Linked DNA regions of Drosophila melanogaster. The protein of the gene in region 2 interacts with the protein of the main gene of each other region in a pairwise test. Each region holds a gene or a part of one and is shown on either strand. Other genes may lie near its edges.

What was found.
Region 1: the proteins of CG2129 (region 2) and Ptx1 interact in a two-hybrid assay, tested with the Drosophila melanogaster proteins (one large-scale study listed by BioGRID).
Region 3: the proteins of CG2129 (region 2) and CG13151 interact in a two-hybrid assay, tested with the Drosophila melanogaster proteins (one large-scale study listed by BioGRID).

What each region holds. Positions count from the first base shown.
Region 1 is NT_033777.3:30,911,070-30,916,000, forward strand, and holds the start of Ptx1 (Ptx1), read left to right. Parts: upstream 1-1,684; 5' UTR 1,685-2,515; intron 2,516-4,870; 5' UTR 4,871-4,931. UniProt on the Drosophila melanogaster protein: Appears to control physiological cell functions rather than pattern formation during embryogenesis.
Region 2 is NC_004354.4:8,144,027-8,148,460, reverse strand, and holds CG2129 (uncharacterized protein), read right to left. Parts: upstream 2,623-4,434; 5' UTR 2,513-2,622; coding exon 1,115-2,512; 3' UTR 606-1,114; downstream 1-605. Other genes in the region: CG15336 (uncharacterized protein), read right to left, coding at 1-446; alpha-PheRS (Phenylalanyl-tRNA synthetase, alpha-subunit), read left to right, coding at 2,966-4,434.
Region 3 is NT_033778.4:12,513,599-12,518,031, reverse strand, and holds CG13151 (uncharacterized protein), read right to left. Parts: upstream 2,658-4,433; 5' UTR 2,589-2,657; coding exon 774-2,588; 3' UTR 748-773; downstream 1-747. Other genes in the region: CG8818 (uncharacterized protein), read left to right, coding at 1-195, 258-391, 444-628; achi (achintya), read left to right, coding at 3,788-3,902, 3,971-4,433.

The DNA of each region.
Region 1 (4,931 bases), on a different chromosome or scaffold from region 2:
GTAGATACCCGCAGCGCTGGGCCAGAAATAGACAGCCTGTCATCAATATAAAAGTCGGGGATTTGGCCAAGGGACACAAAGGACATTGTGTAATTACGCCATCGTAAAACAGAAATTCCCCGGGGTGCTGAAAGTCGGACCTTGCACCACAGGTGGAGAACCCTTTATCATCATATTGTACTGCATCATCGTCACTCAGGTGAAATTCTCCCCTCTGAGTGGGTGGATCGCTGGAGTACCAGCCAGCCCTTCTAACATTGTGCCACATTTACGTAACTGGGCAAATGTGTGACGGCGAGTTCAAAGGCGGTAAACTCGAGAAGGTCTGAGCAACTCGAGTGGCTTTAGTATTTCGAGGGCCTCCTCTCAGCGCGATTATCATTTCAAGTCTATCTGCAATCTGGGTTATGCCAGTCGCACGTTCTGAGAGGTGGCAGTAATCAACAAAAACATCACACCATGGATTGCCAAAATGAAATATATCCTACAAATATATACAATTATTAAATATATATAAGTGGGTTAGATATTATGAAGCACGTTTAACATGACAGACTGATTCCCATTCTCTACTTCATCTTGTCGAATTGATTTATTTTGTTACTATGGAATGCAGTAAACTTCCTGAGATCTCCAGAGGTCATGAGTTATGACTCGCATGGCCATTGGAAATTATGTCTGATTAGTTCCGTGGCATGTCAGTTGCGGAATACGAGGCTATAAAGCCAGCATCATTTACATCAGTCGGCTGTCTCCCGGACCATTTCCTTCAGCTTCCCCCTTTCGACCCAGCTAAACCCATTCTTCCACTCAAGGAGGAGGATAAAACCTAAGGGAAAGGCAGGCAAATGCGAAATAAAAACGAAAATTATGAACTGCACAAAAGCTGTTGTGAATATTAATAAATTCTGCCTGCTGCTTGTTTCTGTTTCTGTTTCAGTTTCAGCTTCCTTTGAAAGTATCGCTGTCTCTGTGGCTGTATTTCTGTGCTGGCAGAGCGAACAAATCAAAAAGGGGAAAGTCCCAGGGAGGAGATACAGATACAAATACAAACGCAAGGATACGTCAAAAGGAGCAGTTATTTATTTATTTGCGAGGGGCGGTCGGGGGGTTAAACTGGCACAGGCACAGGCACAACAATGGCGGGCTAACGCAGAATAATGGGATAACAAAACGCCCTTGACACCCAGTAAAAGACAGCCAGCCCTCAAAAGTGGGCAAAGTAGCCTTATTATTATGAACACAGCACGTAGCAATTGTCCAGGGGCGGAGGGCAGGGCTCTGCCAGGGGTCCTCAAAGGGGGAGAACGGAACAAAGGACCAAACCAGAGCCAAACCCGAAAGTACAAATCAAACCCTCGAGAGCGGCCAAATAATGTACGGATGAAGAGCGAGAGGGAGAGTGGGCGAGAGAGGGAGAGCACAGCAATGGCGCACTGCAAACACCAGGGTCTGAGTGAGAGAGAGCGAGAGAGTGCCGACTTTGGGGGTGTGTCTTCCACGCACTCGAATGATCGGACCTCCCTTTCGCACTGCCGCTGCACAGGCAGCTCTCGCTACTCGTCGGCCAGAAGACCATCTCCCTCACACCCTCTCGCCGGTGCACGGGCAGAAAAGAGAGATAAGATAGCGGGCAATACACGGGGCTCTTGCGTTCGAAAGGCGAAATTCCGGGGTATTGCGTTCAGTAGCCGCGAGTTCTCGTCGCCAGCACCACGTTTACCGTTAGCACTGGCCCAACCACCCCGCACAACCCCACCAGCCAGATACTCGCTGCATGCGCTGTACAGTGTACACGCATCCAACAGATACTTTTCCGAATTCGTTTTCAATCCAGCTACGTCCTGTTACGGATGCAGACGCGTCGCCTCCGTTGTGATACCAGATACATGTAATTGCAGGTCTAGAGCTACAGATTTAGATACAGAGATTCGAGTACCCTAGCAGATACTTAGCCTAATTACGCCGTGGATTAAACTATTAAACACTTAAATCCGCCAGGATTTGCCTATCAAATCAAATCGAATCGAAATCATATCACTGAGAGTGCCGCGAGTGACTGTGTGCGCGAGTGTGTGTTTCTGTGAAGCGGCAGCGAGATTAAAAACATATCCCCGAGTTACTTAAAATTAATCACTAACATAATCACTGTGATTTTTATTATTTGATCTGCCGACGTCAACACCGCGTGTGCGAAAACTGTTTAACGGCTGGGGCTTTATTAAATGCCGCTTCGCATTTGATTAGCAATCTGTTGCAACAACACAGCACAAACCTACCGATCTCCCCGAGATTTATAGCCCACTGCCCACGCGATATATCCGGAAGATTTTCGGAGACTTTCCCAGATCTCCGGCATTAGAAATGCTGGCCATCTGATTTATTGACGGACCCACGACATTTGCTCCATCAAAGTTCGCCTTTGATATTCGGGATCGACAGAACCAGAGAACCGACGGAAGTTCGTTCCCACCACCTAGTGGATTAATTTTAATTCCTCTCCCATCATTCAGAGGTGAGTCGCAGTCGCATAAAGTTAATCATAACTTAAAACTTGTTACACTGACCTCAGTGATTCTTGAGTTGCTAACGCACGAAGCAAGAAATTATAAATCAAATTTGATTTAGAAATTCAAAGATTTTAGAAATTGAATTATATAGGGATCTTTTAAAAACGAAAGTTATTATCAGCAACAACGATGTGTTAGGTCATAATAGCCAACAGAAGTTTTCCGGTAAACACCTGGCTAGGAACTTAAGCGCCCCTTAATAGCAATGTCAATTCAGCTGATGCTAGGAAAACAGCCTAGCTTTCCAGCGAGGATCAGCAGAGGTTCCCATTGAGGGCCCAGAGCAAGCCCATAAACGGCTTGTTGGACAACGAATTAAGTTTACGGCGGACTCTCACGCCGCGCATAAATCACGGCGGAGTGAGACTCGGATCCGGATTGCCGCCATAAACAGAGATCTCGGCCATTCCGTAAGGGGGCCTCTGGGCTTCTGGGCCAGTACTGTGGGTTTTGCCAAAAAAATTGGAGGAGAGCCCGGCCAAGCGGCGCTGGCTCATTGACGTCACCTGAACAATTAGCAAACAAGATGTGGAAAAAACCTAAGTACACAATGCTCGGACTCGGATCTCCGGGCAGCCGCTAAACTCGAATTTGAATAAAATAATAAAATTAAATAGAAATGAAAGCATGTGGAAAGCCTTGGCACAACATCGGAATCTTGGCACCTTCGCGACGAAGAGGCCGTAAACACACGAGATCTCGCGGCCATAAAGTGGCATAAAATAATTCTGGCATTCTTTGTCTTAGGGAATCATTATGTAAATAAATTCTCACTTTTGAAATAAAATGACGAGGCAGAAAAGCCAAAAGCTGAAAAACACACAAGAAATGGAGCGGAGAATATTCTTTGGCGAAATGGAATGGAAACAATGGCAAACTGGCAACCGAATTATTTATTAGACGCTGCGGCAGATAATTTAGCCAGAAATTGAGACAACTGCGGCAAAGACAGAGCAAATAACAGTATTATAAATATCCCCATCACGGCAATAAATGCAGAACTTTTCATTTCAACGGCTGACCCCCCCCCCCCACCCACACACACACCAACTAACCAATCGTGTGGCCCATAAATTGGCTTGAAGTGAAATTATGTTTATCACGAAAGGCTGCCTATTATTATTGCTGTTGAACAACCGCAAATGGATTTAACATTACAGCCGCACTAATCCACTGGGGATCAAGTGGAGATCAAGCGGCATTATCAGCGAAATCGAAAGTGACAGCTCAAGCCAAGGCATTCCAATTAAATTTAATTAAATTCACTTAAACACACAACTGCGAATTTATGCTGCCGCTAGATTTATGAAATTCGTTCTCGTTTCGAATGCCTTTGAATGCCTTTAGTTTGTTGTGATTGAGATTAGATAACCATTTATTGCAACGTTTCGTTTCGTTTAGTTTGGTTTCGTTAGCTCAGATAGCGGACCGCATATATAACGTATATGTACATATATGTATATGCCCATTCCCGCCCGATATCGGGCAAAGGGGCCTAGGAACCTGGAGAGGTGTTCCCTCCCTTTTTGCTAATTGATTTACGATCGTTTATGGCTATTTTCGTGCTACTGTCAGTGGGCTGTTTTTATTTTTAACGAATTTATTGGACGCCCATGGCACAGTTTATCGCACTACTGACTGTCAGTGCGGCGCTCTACTACTTCTTCGAGCTTTCCCCAATTTCGATTGCCAAAATCCAAAGGCGCCCAGTGTACGTGCAATCATAACAATAATAATAGCGGAGAAATGCTCGCAGAAATGAAAATATTTTACATCGATAAGGCTGTTATCACCTGGCCCCCGCCATCTCCGCTCCAACAGTCTGCTGATAGCAGTGTAGGCGGTTCGGGGGTGCGGTGGTGCGGTGGCTCGGTGGTGCTGTTGTCAGCCCATATGCCCCACCAGATCCCCTCAGGTGCGCTCCGCCAGCCATACGATTTACGACGCCAACTGAAAGAGTCCCAGTTTACCACTCCGTTTGCCGCCGGCTCCAGCATCCGTGGTATTAACCCCTTGACGTGTTTGGTGTTAACTTGCCATTCGGCTGGTGTTTGGGTTAAGCTCCCTGTTTGCCTTCGCCGTTGAGGCGATAAAAGGTTCCACCAGTTGATTTGCCTACCAGGTAGCCAGCCAAGCGATAATTATGTCTGAGTAGCAATGAACCCGATATGACTAACCTTAGCACAGAGCGACATCTCTGAACTAAATCTATAGTTAGTGAAACGAATTAGAAAAATTAGTGAAATACATCCCAGCTTTTCGCAGTGTTTTAATGACATACCCCGCCTGATCTTTTCCAGCTTTTCGGGCTCTGGCAACGGCTGCATCTTGGATTTGCTTTCACCACAGTTGGAAGATACC
Region 2 (4,434 bases):
CTTGAAACCACTCTTTTGATCTGCAGATCCTTCAGATCCGTGGTTTCGGTGGCTCGCTGGTTCCTCTGGCGGTGAATCCGCTTGTGTTGGGCGTAGCCCGCCGCCTGAGCGAACGACTTGTCGCACTGGGAGCACTTGAAGCGCTTCCCATCCTCGTGGAGCGTCCGGTGATGGTACAGGGCCCGCGAACTGGAGAAACCCACGTTGCAGTCGGTGCAAATGTGCCGCTGGCGTCGCTCGCCGGCGTCCAAGTGCCGCTCCAAGTGGCTTTTCAGCTGATAGCTGGCCGGGAAACGCGCCTGGCATTGCTGGCAACTGAAGGGCATTTCGCCGGTGTGTCGCCGACGATGGATCTGCAGATTCCAATAGATGCGCGTCCGATAGCCGCAGAACTCGCACATAAGTCGCCGATTATCGGAGCTGGCAGCTGGACGTTCCGCCGACATGGTCGGTCCGCGTGTGCCAAATCTAATCGTCGGCACTATTGTTAGACGCACCCCATCCAATACCATCTTGGCATTTGGCCGCTTTAGCAGCAGTCGACCGATTAATTGCTGTCAAAGGTACCAAATCGCTTGGCTAATTTTAAACGCGGGCTCTCTTTTGCGAATCAAATTCATGTTATGTATATTTATCAATACAAAAAAGTTAACCATTCGAATACTAGCCACATCCGGTTGCCGAGATTACGGCGTTCGATTTGGTTCTTGGAAGCATTGTGTGCTTAATGTATAGTTTAAACCTTAACAAAGTTTAGTTATTATTTGAGTTGGTAGTTTAGAAAATTCATGGAAATGTAGTTTAGTCTTAGTACTTACAATCGAGCCAATTAAATTTGCCTCAAACTAAGTTCACTCGAAACAGATTAACAAACTTTCAGTTTATCTAAAACTAGGGATATTATTTACAGTGCGTGTCAAATAAATTCGATGGAAACCCGTGAAACGAGGACCGAAGAGTCACATGATACCCGCTCCATGCCGGAGCAATGCAAAAAACCATTGATTTCTATGGTAATCCTATATATAGCCTATGCCTGAGTTCCTGAACTTAAACGTCGGAATTGGAAGATACAAAACGTACAACTTAGACTACGACCTCGGTGATCCGGATCCTATCCGTTGAGCTCGTCGTTCCGGTGCTTGCGCATATGTCCAGCGAGACCGGCGGCCTGGGCATAGGCATTCCCGCACAGCTTGCACACGAACTGCTTGGTGTCCGCGTGCAGGAACTTGTGGTGGTAGAGGCCTTTCTGTCGGGAGAAGGTCGCACCGCAAACGCTGCACACATGCGGTCGCTCCGTGGAATGCATGGCCATGTGCTCTCGCAGGCCGGAATGGGAGGGGAATCTTTTGTCGCACACTTGACACCCGAACGGCCGTTCGCCCGTGTGGCTCCTGATGTGGACGCGCAGCGTCTCCTTGTTCCGGCAGCTGTAGCCGCAGCTCTCGCAGACGAAGTTCTTTTGCTCCGTGTGCACCTTGCCGTGATTGCGCATATGACGGATGGTGAAGAAGCGCTTGCCGCAGCCGGGATGCGGGCAGGGCACGTTCCGTTCGCTGGTGTGCTTGAGCTGGTGGCGTTTCAGTTCGTGTCGCGTCTTGTAGCGCCGCCCGCAAACCACACAGGCAGCGCCGCCATGCGCCTGCACCATGTGCTCGTCCAGCAGGCGCAGGCGCGGCAATTGGGCCTCGCATTCCAGGCAGGTGAAGATGGCGGAGCCTCCTTCCTCGCCGTTGTCATGATCCCGCTTTAAATGCTGACGCAGACTGTATTTGCCATGGTAGATCTTGCCGCAGTGCTCGCACTTGTACTCCTGGGCAGCGGACTTGACGGGCGCATCCTTGGGCGGCTCGTAGTCCGCGTCCTCGCTGTCCACATCCGGCGAGAGAGTGTCTTTGTGCTGGCGCATTATGTGGCGTTCGAGGACCTTGCGGCTCTGGTAAACTTTTGTGCAGTGCGGACACGAGTGCGGAATCTTGGCAGAGTGCCTGCCTTCGCTGTCCAGATCCAGCTCCATGCCGCACTCCTCCTGCTCGGAGTCTTCCTCCTTGTAGTCCACCTTGAGGGCTCGGACTTGACGTAGAGATTCGCTGGTCAGCGACTGATGGTCCTGCCACTTGATTATGCTTCTGCCTGGCCGCTCATCTTCGTCCTCATCCTGCTTTTCCAGGACAACGCGCTCATCGTCGCTGTCCTCGTTGTGATCGCCACCAATCTCGTACCAGGCAAATGGATTCACCTGCGCCACAATGGGCACCGGCGAGTTAGGCTCCCGCTCACGATCCCGCTCCTGCTTGAGATTCGCACCGGCGTCCGTTGCCTCCGTCTTCAGCAGGCCGTTCTCGAAGTGAATGTTCTGGACGTGGAGCAGGAAGTCTCCGAACACAAAGCTCTTCATCTCGCAGAACGCACAGTCGATGCGGAAGCTGTGCAGGCTCTGGAAGTAGATCTCGCCGCACTTGGCGTTCGCCATTCCGGCGTACGTGTCCGGCTTGAGGGACTTGAGCATGATTGCGGCTCCCACCTGGCCGTTGCTCCCCAGGATTTGCTCCTTTTTTCGAATATATTCGCCGTTCTAATTGGAACGCAAACTTTTAGTCTTGGCGTCAACAGCTGTTTTTATTGGAGGTGCCACTGTGATGGTAAGCGGAAAAATAAACCGAGTTGAAACCAGTTCTTTATATGAGACATCTTTATTATTATTTCATTTACTTTTGAAATGTTAGTGACAAAAGTATCATATCTTACTATTCGCTGAAATATTTATACAAATTTCCAATATCTAGATATAATTATAGCTATTTTAAGCTTATTGGCTATTTTTTAGCCACCGTCGTCGTTTCGAACGATAGACGCAGTTATCGAAGAACGATAGCTCCGATAGGCTGCGTTGTGGCAACACGAGATTCCGGTATTGAAATTCCGAATTTCCTTGAAAGATACAACCATTGAACCGCCAGCTATGCATCCCGATCTCACGGAGCGCATTCTCCAGCATTTGGAGACCACCGACAAGGCGGACACACTGGACCTGGCCGCACTCTTTGCCGAGGATCACCAGAAGATTGTGGGCTCATTGAAGAGCATACAGGCGCATGGCGAACTAGTCACCGCGGAAACGGTCACCCACAAGAGTTTGGGCCTCACAGACGAGGGTCGCGCCGTCGTGGAGAATGGCAGTCATGAGGCACTGGTCTACGACCTAGTTCCGCCGGAGGGAATCGCCCAGGCGGCTCTAATGGCAGCCGGTGGCGCAAATGCCAAAGTGGGCTTTAGCAAAGCCATGTCGCACGGCTGGATTTTGGTGGACAAGAGCGTCACGCCGCCGCTGGTGCGCCGCAAGGTGGACACCATTACGGATGTGGTGCGCAATCAACTGCAGCAGGTGGCGCTGGGAAAGGGTGACCAGCTGCCTGCCAAGGAGGTGGCCGACTTCAAGAAACGCAAGCTCCTCCAGGAAACGACCACCAAGAGCTTCGTGCTGGCACGCGGCCCTGAATTTGCCACCACTCTCACCAAGTTGGAGACGGATCTCACGGTGGAAATGCTCGCAAATGGATTGTGGGACCAGCTCAAGTTCAAGGCCTATAACTTTGATGCGTTGGGTGCACCACCAACGCGTGGACATCTCCATCCCTTGCTCAAAGTGCGCACTGAGTTCCGGCAGATATTCCTCGAGATGGGCTTCTCAGAGATGCCTACGAACAACTATGTGGAATCGTCATTCTGGAACTTCGATGCGCTCTATCAGCCGCAACAGCATCCAGCTCGCGATGCCCACGACACCTTCTTCGTGAATCATCCGGCCAAAAGCCACAAGTTTCCGCAGGACTATCTGGAGCGCGTGAAGAAGGTGCACTCTGTGGGTGGCTATGGATCGAAGGGTTACGGCTACGACTGGAAGCTGGAGGAGGCGCAGAAGAATCTACTGCGCACGCATACGACGGCCGTGAGTGCGAGGATGCTGTACAAGCTGGCCAACCAGGAGGGCGGCTTCAAAGCAGCCAAGTACTTCAGCATCGACAAGGTGTTCCGCAACGAAACACTGGACGCCACACATCTGGCGGAGTTCCATCAGGTGGAGGGCGTGATTGCAGATGTTGGTCTGACGCTGGGCGATCTCATTGGCACGCTGTACGAGTTCTTCAGAAAGCTGGGCATCACGCAGCTTGAATTCAAGCCGGCGTACAATCCGTACACCGAGCCCAGCATGGAGATCTTCTGCTATCACCCCGGCCTGGCCAAGTGGATCGAGGTGGGCAACTCGGGCGTCTTCCGGCCGGAGATGCTGCTGCCCATGGGACTGCCGGAGAACGTGAATGTAATCGCCTGGGGTCTGTCGCTGGAGCGACCCACCATGATCAAGTACGGCATCAACAACATTCGCGATTTGGTCGGACCCAAAGTGGATCTAAAGATGGTGGAGGAGGG
Region 3 (4,433 bases), on a different chromosome or scaffold from region 2:
TCTGGCCCAGAAGAGTGAGGCGGTGCTAGTGTCGCTGCTGGAGGTAGCGCGTGCCATTCACCGCGAGCACAAGGACATCTTTGTGGTGGCCTGTGTGTGGAAGCAATGCTTCGCTAGCGATTGGTTTTGCGATCAAAAATCGGCTTCGGAACTGTTTGAGCACTACAAGGAGCTGCAAGAGCTAGTGGAGAGGAGGTAAGTCGCTTTAATTTCTTTAAAAACCCGAAATTTGAATCCCAATGTAACCTTCCTTGCAGAGCCAGTTCTTTGTGCTCTTCATTTCTGGCCCGTAACAATGTTGATGCGGTGCATCGGCTAATCGAGGCGTTCTTGCAGCACCAGCAGCGTTTGGCCTGCTCCAGCTGCCTCAGCTTGCTCTTTAACTATCAATGTGAGTCTGTGCAACACAACCGAATATTATGTAACTCCCGTTTCGTTTTTAGATATGCGCAAGGATCTGCGAGCCTGCGCTGAGATTGTCAAATCCTGCAGTGAATTAGAGATGCCGCTAAATGAGCTGCAGAACGAACAGTTCCTCAGTCTGTTCCTCGACCAGAGCGATCCTGTGGACTCTTCGGGAATGGCCAGCAAGTACAAGGCACCCAAGTCCTTCCAGTACAAGTTCTAGTCCCCAGTTTCCATCGTTAAGCCGTTGTCATCGTAGTTACAGCACAAGTGTTTGCACCATTGAGCAATATTGCAAGCATCCCCATATTGCAAGCCCCCACAAGGAATGTAGTGTCTCTTCAATAAATGTTATTTAATATCCATCTTCAGGTGGCTCCTTCATCCACCATGTTGCCCTCGGGCAGTTGGCCAGGCAAAATGCCGACGCATTCGTAGCAGCGGGATATCAAGTGGTTGCCGCATCGATGTTGCAAGCACTGTTGGCACCGCGTCCGCGATTTAGTGCCACGCTTATTTCGAGCGCAGGGCTTGCACCTGCGATGCTTCTCTCCGTACCGACTAGCCAAATTAATGCCCAAGGGCAGGCTCATCTTGTCGGGTGTTAGCACGCCTACGCTGTGCGTTAGTTTCGCCTCGCCGGTCGCCTCACTGAGCAGCCGCTGACTGGATTGGCCCAGGATTTCGCAGATTTGCAGTCGCATCACGAGCGAAGTGCTGGTGGATCTTCGCTGAAGGCGTCGCTGTAATCTCTGCTGTGTGAGGAAGAGTCCCAACTGTCTCTGGAAGTCGCGCTGATCCATAGCGGCATCGCCTTTGGGCGAAAGTCGTAACAGGATCCATGCATTCACGGCAGCCGCGTTGAGCACAAAGTGAAGTAGTTGCAGAAAAGGATTGATCTGCTTTTTCAAGGGTGCGGGCGTAGCGTGGGCTGTGCTGAAGCGCTGGGAGTGTTCGTAAAACTGCTGACAGGCTTCTGAGGTTTGCTCATATGCCTGGACTGCATCTACTTGGGAGCTAAGACCGCAGCAGAAGACTGCGTCGCCATCGAGCGGAATGAGTTTTGAGCTGCCACCAAACAAGGGTGATTCTGTGGGCCACTGCCGCGGCCAATGTGGCGAATTGGCCTCCAGCTTACCCAACGAGCTTATTTGCCGCTGCGCCAACTGCTCGCACTGCGTCAAGTTTAGATACCGTGATCCCAGCGTTACATTTCTTCCCGTGGTCTTGAAATCGCAGATCAGTTGTTCTACATCCTTGTCCGGACATCTCTGGTTTCTGCTTACCACTGCATTGGCCATGTACAGTGTCCTGGCATCACAGCAGAGGGTCATCCGTGACTTGGCCACCGCGCAGAATGTCTCATCCACGGTCAACCAACTGCTGCAGCCGTAGTAGGATCTGCAATTGATTATAAGGCGCTGCCAGAGCTTTTGGCCCTCGGACCAGCCGCAATTTCCCGCCAGACACTCGGAAATGCTTTCGAATCGAGCGAGCGACATGGATGCTCGGAATATGGCATTGCCCAGCTCCAGGGTCCACAGCTCATCCAATGGCCCATTGTGCCTGGCATTTCGGAACACTCCACAAAGGTAGCTTAGACCCAAGAATGCCCGCAGCTCCACAACGTCTAGGGGTCTCTGGACACTTGTGGCCGTTCTCCGCTTACGCATCTGTTCATTGATATGGCGAAGTAAAGACCGCAGCATTTCATCATCGAAGAGCAGCATCCATGCTTCCACTGCATTGGACACTGTTCGGGCGGGTCCCTTGCCACAGGCCTGTTGCCCCAAAAGGGGTAGATCCTCTGCAGAAATATCTGGGCTCCTGGTCACGCTCCATAGCTGCCCACAAGGAGATGTGTAGTTTCCGTTATTATTTGGTGGACGACCACGTCCTCGCTTCGGGGCAGCTGGCCTGGCGGAATCCTCCTTCTTCAGCACCACGTCAGCCAGTTGGTCCTCGTTCATCAGCATGTCGCTGTCCTCGAAAATCCAGGGAAAATTGCATACTGCTTCCTGTAGCGGATCGGAGTCATCTCCGTTAAAGGAGGCACTTTGGACTGTGGAATCGACCGGCGGCAGCCGCTCCTCCACCTCCATCTTTTCACCATCCTCGTCTTCTTCCTCCTGGTCGCTACATTTAATATTGGCCAGCAGCTCCTCGTCCAGCACGCATTCCATTGTTTGTTTATAAACTTGCAACAAAACAAACCTTTTCAGTCGTCGATAGGTTAGGACAGTAACGTCTATACATATCGATAATTTATATAGTTATCGAAAAAGACATTTAAAACATAAATCTTAAGCTTGAAAGGTTGAAAACTTATAAAAAAAATAGTTTGTTCTATTTAGAAAAAATTATGTACATTCTAAATATAACTTATTTATTTTAAATGTAGATTTAATTTCCAGCGTAGAGATAACTAGTGTATGTTTATAATTCTTAAACAAATTATACTTAACAAAACTTGTATTTATTCTTGGCGCCACTGTTCAAATTTCAAATGAACCTGCCAACTGAACTAACTCCCCAGTGGACCCCCATCCATGATTTATCGCACATAAGCGGCTATCGGATTTCTTTCGCCACTAATTTGTTGTTTGGCACGCAGCAAGGAAAAGGAATAAAACGCTTTAAAACCAGTGCCAAAATAGCTTTCCCCAACGTTCGTTACTATATTTACGTTGTCTGCAAAAAGAGTTTGTCTAATTGGCCTCGATACTACGGTTGTGACGACTGCCCCGTCACTACAGTTTGCTGAGTGCAGTAACCGGGGCCTGGCTGAAACACTGGGAAAACCAGTGTTTAGTGTAAATAAATGATAGTGGCACCCATTCGGACATCGCAGGTGAATCCCCGGGAGCTCAAGACGCCCGTTATTTGGGCGCGCAGTGAATTTGTCAAAATATTTTGGTTAAAGTGTCAATTTGACATGTTATATGTCATGGTCTCTCGTGTGCCAGTGCGATAGTTATCGATAGATAGCCCCAACTTAATTTGTTTTAAATATTTTTAAATTTCTTCTTTACTTAATTCACTACTGTAATACGTTCGTTTAATGTATAGTTCCTTGGAAATTAATCGATTTAGCAAGTAGACCGATTGGAAAGAAATCAAAAATCGATTTGAAATGCGTATTTGAACCTTAGTTGGCCATGACTTTGGTGTCTGAATGACGCCTGCCCTCAGAAAAAGTTAGTTGAATCTCAAAGTCTGTGGTGACAACACCTAAAGAAACTAAAAAGTGACAGGTTTCTCTGTTTGTAAAAAAAAAAAAATTGTAATTAAAGTTCTGTTCTTTTCCTTTCAATATTTGCATACCGTTTCTGGTTGTGTTTTAATGAATTTTCTGTTTTCTGAAGCTTAAGTCTGAGCTGCAATGATCTCGCCGGAACAAGAAGAGGTCAACATGGTCCTGGATCGCCATGTACGGCAGAATATCCAGGACATGATGCACGAGGCTCATGTCCAGGCGAGCCTGCTGGAGAACGAAGGTGAGTTTGCTATATTTCGGTCGAGTTCGGTCTTGTTCATGCCCGTTTTTTTTGCATGTCATCTGCAGGACGCGGCCGTTTCCACTCGGACTCAAGTTTGGACCAGGATTCTCTTCACGCTGACGTCATCGTGGAGGAGGATCAGAGCACCGAACACGGCGCCAACCAGGTGCAAAACTACCACGACATGATGGTGGACAGTGAACACCACATCGACATAAATGGGTCGCTGCGCAAACGTCGTGGAAATCTTCCCAAGACCTCTGTAAAGATTTTAAAGCGTTGGCTTTATGAGCACCGCTATAACGCCTATCCGAGCGATGCGGAGAAGTTCACCCTGTCCCAGGAGGCCAATCTGACGGTGCTCCAAGTGTGCAACTGGTTCATCAATGCCCGTCGCCGCATTCTACCGGAGATGATCAGGCGCGAGGGCAACGATCCTCTGCACTTCACCATATCGCGACGTGGCAAAAAGGTTAGCCCCAACTGTTCGAGATCAAGTGCGTTGGGCGCAAACTTGACTGGGCCGAA